Macaca fascicularis: one gene and its partner. The protein of the gene in region 2 purifies or fractionates together with the protein of the main gene of each other region. This does not show direct contact. Links are inferred from orthologs where the notes say so. Each region holds a gene or a part of one and is shown on either strand. Other genes may lie near its edges.

Region 1 (4,563 bases), on a different chromosome or scaffold from region 2:
TCTTAGTATGAACTCAGTAAATGAAGGACGTAAATCATCCACAGAAACTTTCCCAACAAGTGGGTTTGTAAAGACATTTTAATACGTCACTAAATTCTCCTTGGTATGATACTCTTTTAATCATCTATCCATTTTGCCTAGAGTTACAGAGGGTAGAGCTAGCATTCTGTATAACCAAGTGTTGTGTGCAGGTACAGGGGGTGGGTAGATGTGTATTACATTGACAATGCTTTAGGAATGGAAAAACGTAAGGAGCAAATACCATATATTTTCTCATATTCATGTTTTTTTTTGTTTTTTTTTTTTGAGACAGAGTCTTGCTCTGCCGCTCAGGCTGGAGTGCAGTGGTGCGATCTCAGCTCACTGAAACCTCTGCCTCCCAGGTTCAAGCCCTTATCCTGCCTCAGCCTCCCGAGTGGCTGGGATTACAGGTGCCCACTACGACGCCTGGCTAATTTTTGTATTTTTATAGAGATGGGGTTTCACCACATTGGCCAGGCTGGTCTTGAACTCCTGACCTCGTGATCCACCCACCTCGGTCTCCCAAAGTGCTGGGATTACAGGCGTGAGCCATTCTGACTGGCCCATGTTTTTTTTTTTTTTTTCTTACTCCCCTGGGAATTTTTTTTCTGTTTAATTTACATGTGGAAATACATGGTAAAGAAGAGTTGATCACCTAAATTTTACAGAACTCGAGATACTAGTTTAATACAACTAGAAGGGACAAAATATCTTGTTATATTGCTATTAGAGTTCTCCTTTCAAAGGCCTGCCTTCCCCCTCCCCCATCCTGGGCATTATAGAGATAGTAGCACAGAACCTAATAAAACAGATACTACACCTCCTGAGATACCTAATTTTTGGGAGTCTAAGAATTTCTTTAGGTGAAAGTACACTTAAAATCAGCACCTCAAACTGCTAGAGAAGTATGCTAAGTATATGCTATTGGATTCTAAGGTTCATTGGATCTATCATTACCATGAATATAGAGGATGTAAGTAGATAATCACAGAATTACAGGAACATACCCGCTTAAATTTCCCAGAGACCTTGTTCTGAAGTCTGCTACAGTTGGTACTGATCTGATAGGAAATGCTTTTAATTGTTTTTCCACTTTGAAGAACTGGATGAGATTCTGCCAATGTGATGACACATATTCTACAAGGAGAAAAAATTGATCCTATGTGATTGCTTGGAATAATTTTTCCTCCCATAATTCTTATTGGAACAAGAATGTATGAACTGGTATTTGTTTAGTCAAACTATCATCTTCCCCCTTTTTTCTTTGGCTACTATTGGGGCATAACTGTAGAAAGGAGAATACAATAATAAAAGAGAAAACAAGATTGAATTTCTTTCCCAGGAAAGGGAAGAGTACCAGAGATCTTTAGGTAGGTTGCACTGGGGTAGAAGACAAAAAAATAAGGCATGCCTGTGTATACAAGATACCATGTATGTCTCTACCGTAGCCCTTTCTGTGGGCTCTTAACAGTTCAGTAGTTGGGAACAGACTGGCCACTTCAGGTAGTAGCTGATGATGTGGTCCTCCATTTGGGTGTTTGAATAATCAAATTTATTTGTTTAGAGTGGCCAGGCACTGGAATACTCATTCTTGCCAAACAAACTCCTATAATAATACCATTTCAACACAGTAGAAGATAATTAATGCATGTTTGTTTAGTGAGCATTTGTTCAATCCAAGACCACAAGACCATACCAGGCTACAATACCAGAAAAAAAAAAGGTTTTGATAATTTAAAATTCCCAATTTGCTTACCGGTTAGAGTGCTGTAGTATACAGTGGTCCTCACAAAATTTTCCTTTGACATCTAGAAGAATAAATGAGTCTGTTGGTGGCTGAAATCAATACTTACTACCACTATGTGGTCCTTTTTTGGGTCATAGAGATAGTTAATAATGAAGATTGGACACATACATGCTGCATGCTGGTCACTTCTATCCCTACATTGCTCAAAAAGACATACCCAAAGGCTTCCTGGAAAGTATTTAAAGAGATCTGGCCCAGACAGAATAATTTATTCAACATTAAGGTAATTAACTCCTTGCTCCATCTTCCTTTACACTCACTTCAAAATGAGTACACACAGTATTTTTGCTAGGAAAATGCAATTAGCATCCCATTCTTTATGATATATATTTTTTGTTGGTGGTTTCCAGGACTGTTCTGATGCTGGTGCAAGTCCGACATTCTGGGAAACCCCTCAGTCATGGGTCAACTAGGACAGGTTGGTCACCCTATGTTTGACCAACAGAAAATATGCTACAATATATATTTTTTTAACTGAGTATAACCATTATCACTGAATGAAAGGAAGAAAGGAGAGTCCCAAACGATGCTCCCGCCACTGGTACTGCTTACACAAAACAGTACAAAAAGAATACCTACTTCTAAGTGGCAGATGAACAATACCGGTGGCGTCTCCTTAAGTAAATGTGTAATTCTGCTTTCTAAATGTCTGTAGCCCACCCTCTTCTCGCCAGCCCTACTGCCTCTACCTTGGTTTCGATCTGATCATTTACATAATTTTATGTATTGCTAATCGCTGTGACAGTGAGCCCCTCAATCCCTCCAGGCACTTCAGGACTGTGGCAACCTAGCCCTGCGCCTACCTCCGGGGCCTCCGTGAGCTACACCCTAGAGCTCGCACTGCAATCGCCGGTCCCAGAATGCGCCCTGAAGTATTTCAGGCCACCAGGTCTTTGCAAATGCCACTACCTGGGCCTAGACGGAACACAGAAGTCCAGCTCCTTCTGACGTGGGGAGGGAGCGCCAGGGAGAGAGCGCGTGGCTTACGATCTGTCAACGTAGTCTCCACAGCATTAGGCCAATGCGGCCAAGGAGGGATCAACATCACTCTGCACTTACCCGGTTTGTACCAGCGAGTGAAGTATCGATCCACGAGCGAAGGCACCACCGGCTCCGCTGCTTCGGGCTCGGTAGCCATGGCGACCTCCGGCGCCGCCACCCCCTCCCTCCCGGACCCCAGCGCTTCCTCCGCGCAGCCCGGGCTGGGCGTGCTCTTCCGGCGCGCAGCGCGTGTCGTGCGCACGCGCGCTTCTGCCAGCTCCGCAGGTTCCGCCCCCCATTACTGTGCTTTGGGGTTCCACATCAAAAGAGATCAAATACAAAAGTGTGGGCAGATGGGCAGGAGGGCAGAGGGACAGGGGATGCGGCCAATGTAGTTCCTCTACCTCTACGGTGCCAGGGCTACAAAGAAGGCCGGTCCCGGTAAGTGACCAAGAAAGCGGACCCGGCCACGCCTCCGCCGCTGGATGACGTCACCCCGCGCCGCCCTCCGCGGGCCGGGCCATCCTAGTTGACGCGACCATTGCGCAGCTGGCCTCTGCAGTGCTTCAGCGCACCCCTGGAGGCCTAGTGCGCTCGGTGAGAGAGCGGGAGCCTAAGACCGAGACGCGTGCGCAGTTCGGGGCGGACTCTGGGTAGCCGGCTGCGCGTGGCTGGGGAGGCGAGGCCGGATGCACCTCTGTTTGGGGGTCCTCAGGTAAGCGATCCATCCGGGGCAGGGGCACGGGAGTGGACCCCTCTGCCGGCAGTGTCCGGGTGAAAGAGACCGGAGGCTCCTCTGCCTGCTGCGGGCCGGGGACTGGAGCGCGGGCTGCACCACCTCTTTCCTAGAGCCTTAAATTCTTTTTGCAGTTTTGCCACCTGCTCCATCGGGGGCGCTGGGAGGCGCGACAGCCCAGGGATACCTGCAGCACCTCTAGCCAGACTTAACCCAGCCTCTTGATTGCTTGCAGGGGGTTGATAATAACGCTGAAAGCTAGAGCATTAATTCACGATGGAAGGCGGCGGTTAATAGAGGCTCGGGTGCTGTCGTGCGGGTCCTTTCTGGCGTCTGAGACTTTTTCGTGGAGGTGGTGTCCTCTGTGCTTCTCCATCTAACGTGGTGTTTTAACGTGGCTTTCTTTCCCGTTAACGATGATCTCCGTGGAGACAGTGGCTGCCTGAGTAATCTTCAGATCCCAGCACTTAGCAAGTGCCCAGTCGGTGTTGGATGTAGGCCACAAACCGGATCGTAAAGAATTCAACAGCATATTGACAGCCACAGCCACGGCGCTAACCAATGAATAGATCAATATGAAGAGTAAGCAGAAAGGCAGCAAAGACAGTTTTCCAGCTCGGGGACATGGCGTAGAAATGGCCTGTCCCGAAATAGTGGGAACTGTCATTTGGGGGAAGAATAGCAAGTTCTTTGCTTTCCAGGTCGCATTTGATGTGCATGTGAGACTTGCTTGTGATATTATCAGGAGGTTAAAAATGTGGGTTTAGTGGTCAGTTTGGGCTAATTCAGTCGGGGCTAGGCATTTAGGCCTAATCAGCGTATTCGTGATCTACCTGGTACATGTAATCATGCATACGATGTCTAGCCAAGAGGTGGATAGTTGAAGGGACAAGGGAAGAAAATGAAGGAGTTGTCAGAAAATTTAAGAGAGAATTCACTATTGACCTTTGGTGTGGAGGAATCTTTAGTACATTCAAGGACTGAGAAAAGTTTGAATCAGTAGAGGCAGGAAGTTTGG
Region 2 (3,817 bases):
TAAAAAATAGGTTCATAGTTTGGGGTAGCCATAGAGATAATTCAGAAATAACACTGAGGTCAGGTGCAGTGGCTCATGCCTGTAATCCCAACACTTTGGGAAGCCAAGGCAGGAGGATTGCTTGAGCCCACGAGATCGAGGCCACAGTGAGCCATCATTGTGCCATTGCACTCCAGCCTGGGCTGAAAGATGATTTTCATAGTACAGACTAAGTGGTGAAAGGGTCTCTTTTAATGGTCCATAGCCTAAGTAGACTGATGCAACTAGTTGATTTCAAATAATGTTTTTAGTTTTCAAATATTCCAGTTAGCATAAAAATTATAAAAACCGACTTACTTCCCCATACTGAGAAAAAGTCATTTCACATTTACTACTTATCCCCTCTTCAGGAGCAACCTATTTCTAAAAAAAAAAAAAAAAAACAAGCATATGTGTGTGTTTGTGTGTTTCTGAAAACTCAGCAGTACAGGAGCAGCAGAGTGCAATATTAGAATAAATGAAGTAGTTTCCTTTTATCAACTAAAATCAAACAAACCAAAAAAGACATGTGACTCGTGGTATTTCCATTGACCGACTGTCTCATGGTCAAAGTACTAGGAATAACTCTAAAGGTAAAGGAAGCAGGGGAGAGGACTCCATAGATAGTCATTAATTTAAAGGCTGCTGTTTCTCTAAAGTGGAAGCCATGTCTTTATAGATTCCTTCACAGTTCAGCCTTGTCCTTTATTTATGTTTTTTTGGTTTTGTTTTGTTTTTTGTTTTTTTGTCTCTTTGACCAGAGAAAAATCAGGTCTTATGGAGACAGCTTATCTCATCAGGACAAAGTATTTCTGTAATAAAATCAAAGACTCATAAAAACCACAGAGTTAGGAGGAGCCATTGACTCACCACTCTGGTAAAAGCAGCCACACCCTTTCAAATGTGGTCTTTGTTAGAACTTGCTCTTTTTTTCTTGGTGGAGAACTTGATAGAGGAGAGACCAAACAGAAACTTTTCTTCCGTTAGCAGGCCTTCCGGCACTCAAGAACCATGGAAATTAGGAAGAGTTGTTCCGACAAGAAAATGCAGAGGATTCAGTTCTTATGAATCTGAATTTCTGATTACGCCCAATTTTTAAAACTTGGAATTAGTTGACCTTTTACAGTGTTAACCTCTATTTCTTAATTTTTATCTTGTGACAGAAAATCTCTAACTTGAACGAATTGTGAGAAAAACAAGCCTGTGTCCCTAAAAAATCTGAAATGTAAAAAGACATGCAGTATTATTAGTTGCAAGCTGGGCTAACAAACATTGAAAGGTCCTGGTTTATTATGCACATTGATTTGTAATTATTATATTGAAATATCACCCTAAACAAGATGTATTAATATTAATATATTTTCCAGATGTATCCTTTTGTATAACCCTTTTCCTTCACCAAAAAAAAAAAAAAAAACGAAAAAAAACAAATCCAAACAACCCACCCCTGACAGTAGGTACGTGGGTCTCCCTAAAACATGCAAACTCAGCAGGGCATGGTGGCACGCACCTATAATCCCAGCACTTTGGGAGGCTGAGGAGGGCAGATCACCTGAGGTCAGGAGTTGGAGATTAGCCTGGCCAATATGGTGAAACCACGTCTCTACCAAAAAAATACAAAAATTAGCTGAGCGTGGTGGCGTGTGCCTGTGATTCCGGCTACTCTGGAGGCTGAGGCAGGAGAATCGCTTGAACCCAGGAATTGGAGGTTGCAAGTGAGCAGAGATGGCGCCCCTGCACTCAAGCCTGGGCAACAGAGCGAGACCTTGTTTCAAACAAACGCAAACTGCCATACACCCAAGCGATGCTGATGTCCCACCTTCTGCAACCAGCCATTTCTCACGCAGCCTGAAATCCCCACTCTTAGGTCACTCTGTTGGGTTAGAAAACAAAGGTAAAGGGGCCGGGTGCGGTGGCTCACGCCTATAATCCCAGCACTTTGGGAGGCCGAGGCGGGCGAATCACAAGGTCAGGAGAAGTGAGACCAGCCTGGCTAACACGGTGAAACCCCGTCTCTACACGAATTAGCCTGGCGCGATGGCAGGCTCCTGTAGTCCCAGCTACTCGGAAGGCTGAGGCAGGAGAATCACTTGAACACGGGCGGCAGAGGTTGCGGTGAGCCGAGACTGCGCCACTGAGCTCCAGCCTGGGCGACAGAGCGAGAAAAAAGAAAAAAAAAAAAAAAAGTAAACAAAGGTAAAGGCCTTGTCTTTAGGGCAACCCGATAGACCTTAAGGGCAGGCCAGAACTCCAGGGCCTTCACCAATTTATTAAATATGAGAGTAAAAGAGACCTATTTACTTCAAAGCTCTCTTTAAATGGCGAGGTTACTGGGGCCCAGAAAATGAGTAATGATAGACTGGGTTCTGAGAAGTCCCACAGAGTTTGAACCTAACGGGACTCAATTCATTTTACCATTAATTAGTGTCCACCCCGTGATACAGATGGAGTTCTCTAAAGGAAACATCTGTGGTGAGCTATGGATGGTGAAGGAAGGGCTAAGATAGGCTTCACTGGGTGGCAAAGCTGTGACTCCGGGACTGTGTGTCACATTCTCCCCTAGGACTTAAAGATCGACCAGAAAACACCTTTGCGCGTCCTTCACCGAAGGCCCCTGGCTGTGCGAGCTCGCGTCATTCACTCCATGGAGACGCAGTACGTGGATGAGCACCACTTCCGCCTCCGCTTGAAAACTCAGGCCGGCACGTATCCTTCCACCTACTGCACTGCCGCCATGAGCCAGAACCCTGTTGGAAAAGTTCATGCTGCCCTGGAAAATAGGGTCAGCTTGGTCTGGGAGGGATTCGGGAAAGGATTGTACTGCAGAAGAATATTTTTGTTTGTTTGTTCGATGTGTTTTTTTCCCACGAAATTTGTTTTTCAAAATGATTCTAAACACTGAGGTAGCAGTGAGTTCAATGTCAGCTTTAAAGTTATGTTTCCTGTAATTGCCGTGTCTTACACAGTGCTGAGCGCATAGTATCCAGAAAATACTTTTGATGGATTCATTTGCTGTCTTGACATTATTTGCAAGTCACGTATTTATGACCATATTTGGGTCTTTTCAACATTTCAGGTATTTGCCTTGGATGATTAAACACAGGTAGTAGATGGGAATAGCACTACTTTACATCATGATCTTTTACTTGGCCACTGGCCTAGTACAACAGAGAATATCTTTGTCTACGTACCTTGTGAAAAAAACAAAACTAAAACGACTCAGATGACATATCATTATCACCATTTTCAGACTGCAAAGAGTTTTGACTGTATTACAGAAAGGTTGAGATTCAGAGTTAAAATATCCATAGTCCAAGGCTGATAATTTGTTCATAATCTAACCTGACTTGTATGATTTTTGTATCAGAACTGAGTCGCTGATTAAAATATATCAGGGAGCTCTAACAGGCTTAGCTTTAGTTTACTTTTTGAAGGTCTTCCTAGTTTTTGTTTGCTTCTTGGTTTTATATTATTATGTGATCCAATAGCATGAAGTGACAAAATGCCTTCTAACTGGTATAGAACTAATGATGTACTACTGTATGTGTGTGTATATATGTAACACGTATACACACACACACTATATATATATAGAAAAAAAGCAAGTTTTAATTACCAAATACCATTCTTACTATATTGCTGTAACTAGTCTGCCTGCCCTTCCCCACCAACCTGCATTCACTTCTTCCCCTGCACTACCCTAGGACCTGGATTTACTCAGCTAAGCCAAGTATAGGTTATCTACTCTTAAAATCTTCTAAATTTTGTAATTTGCATCAATTTCAATTTCGACTCCAGT

Evidence for each region.
Region 1: the proteins of PUS10 (region 2) and ABITRAM purify together in Homo sapiens (affinity purification with mass spectrometry; 3 studies listed by BioGRID and IntAct, counting the BioPlex papers as one, with this or other methods). This does not show direct contact. The link is inferred for Macaca fascicularis from reciprocal best matches to the Homo sapiens genes PUS10 and ABITRAM.

Annotation. Positions count from the first base shown.
Region 1 is NC_088389.1:49,190,808-49,195,370, forward strand, and holds the start of ABITRAM (protein Abitram), read right to left. Parts: upstream 3,037-4,563; 5' UTR 2,967-3,036; coding exon 2,888-2,966; intron 1,830-2,887; coding exon 1,778-1,829; intron 1,159-1,777; coding exon 1,029-1,158; intron 1-1,028. UniProt on the Homo sapiens protein: Actin-binding protein that regulates actin polymerization, filopodia dynamics and increases the branching of proximal dendrites of developing neurons.
Region 2 is NC_088387.1:61,021,494-61,025,310, forward strand, and holds part of PUS10 (tRNA pseudouridine synthase Pus10), read left to right. Parts: intron 1-2,581; coding exon 2,582-2,724; intron 2,725-3,817. UniProt on the Homo sapiens protein: Protein with different functions depending on its subcellular location: involved in miRNA processing in the nucleus and acts as a tRNA pseudouridylate synthase in the cytoplasm.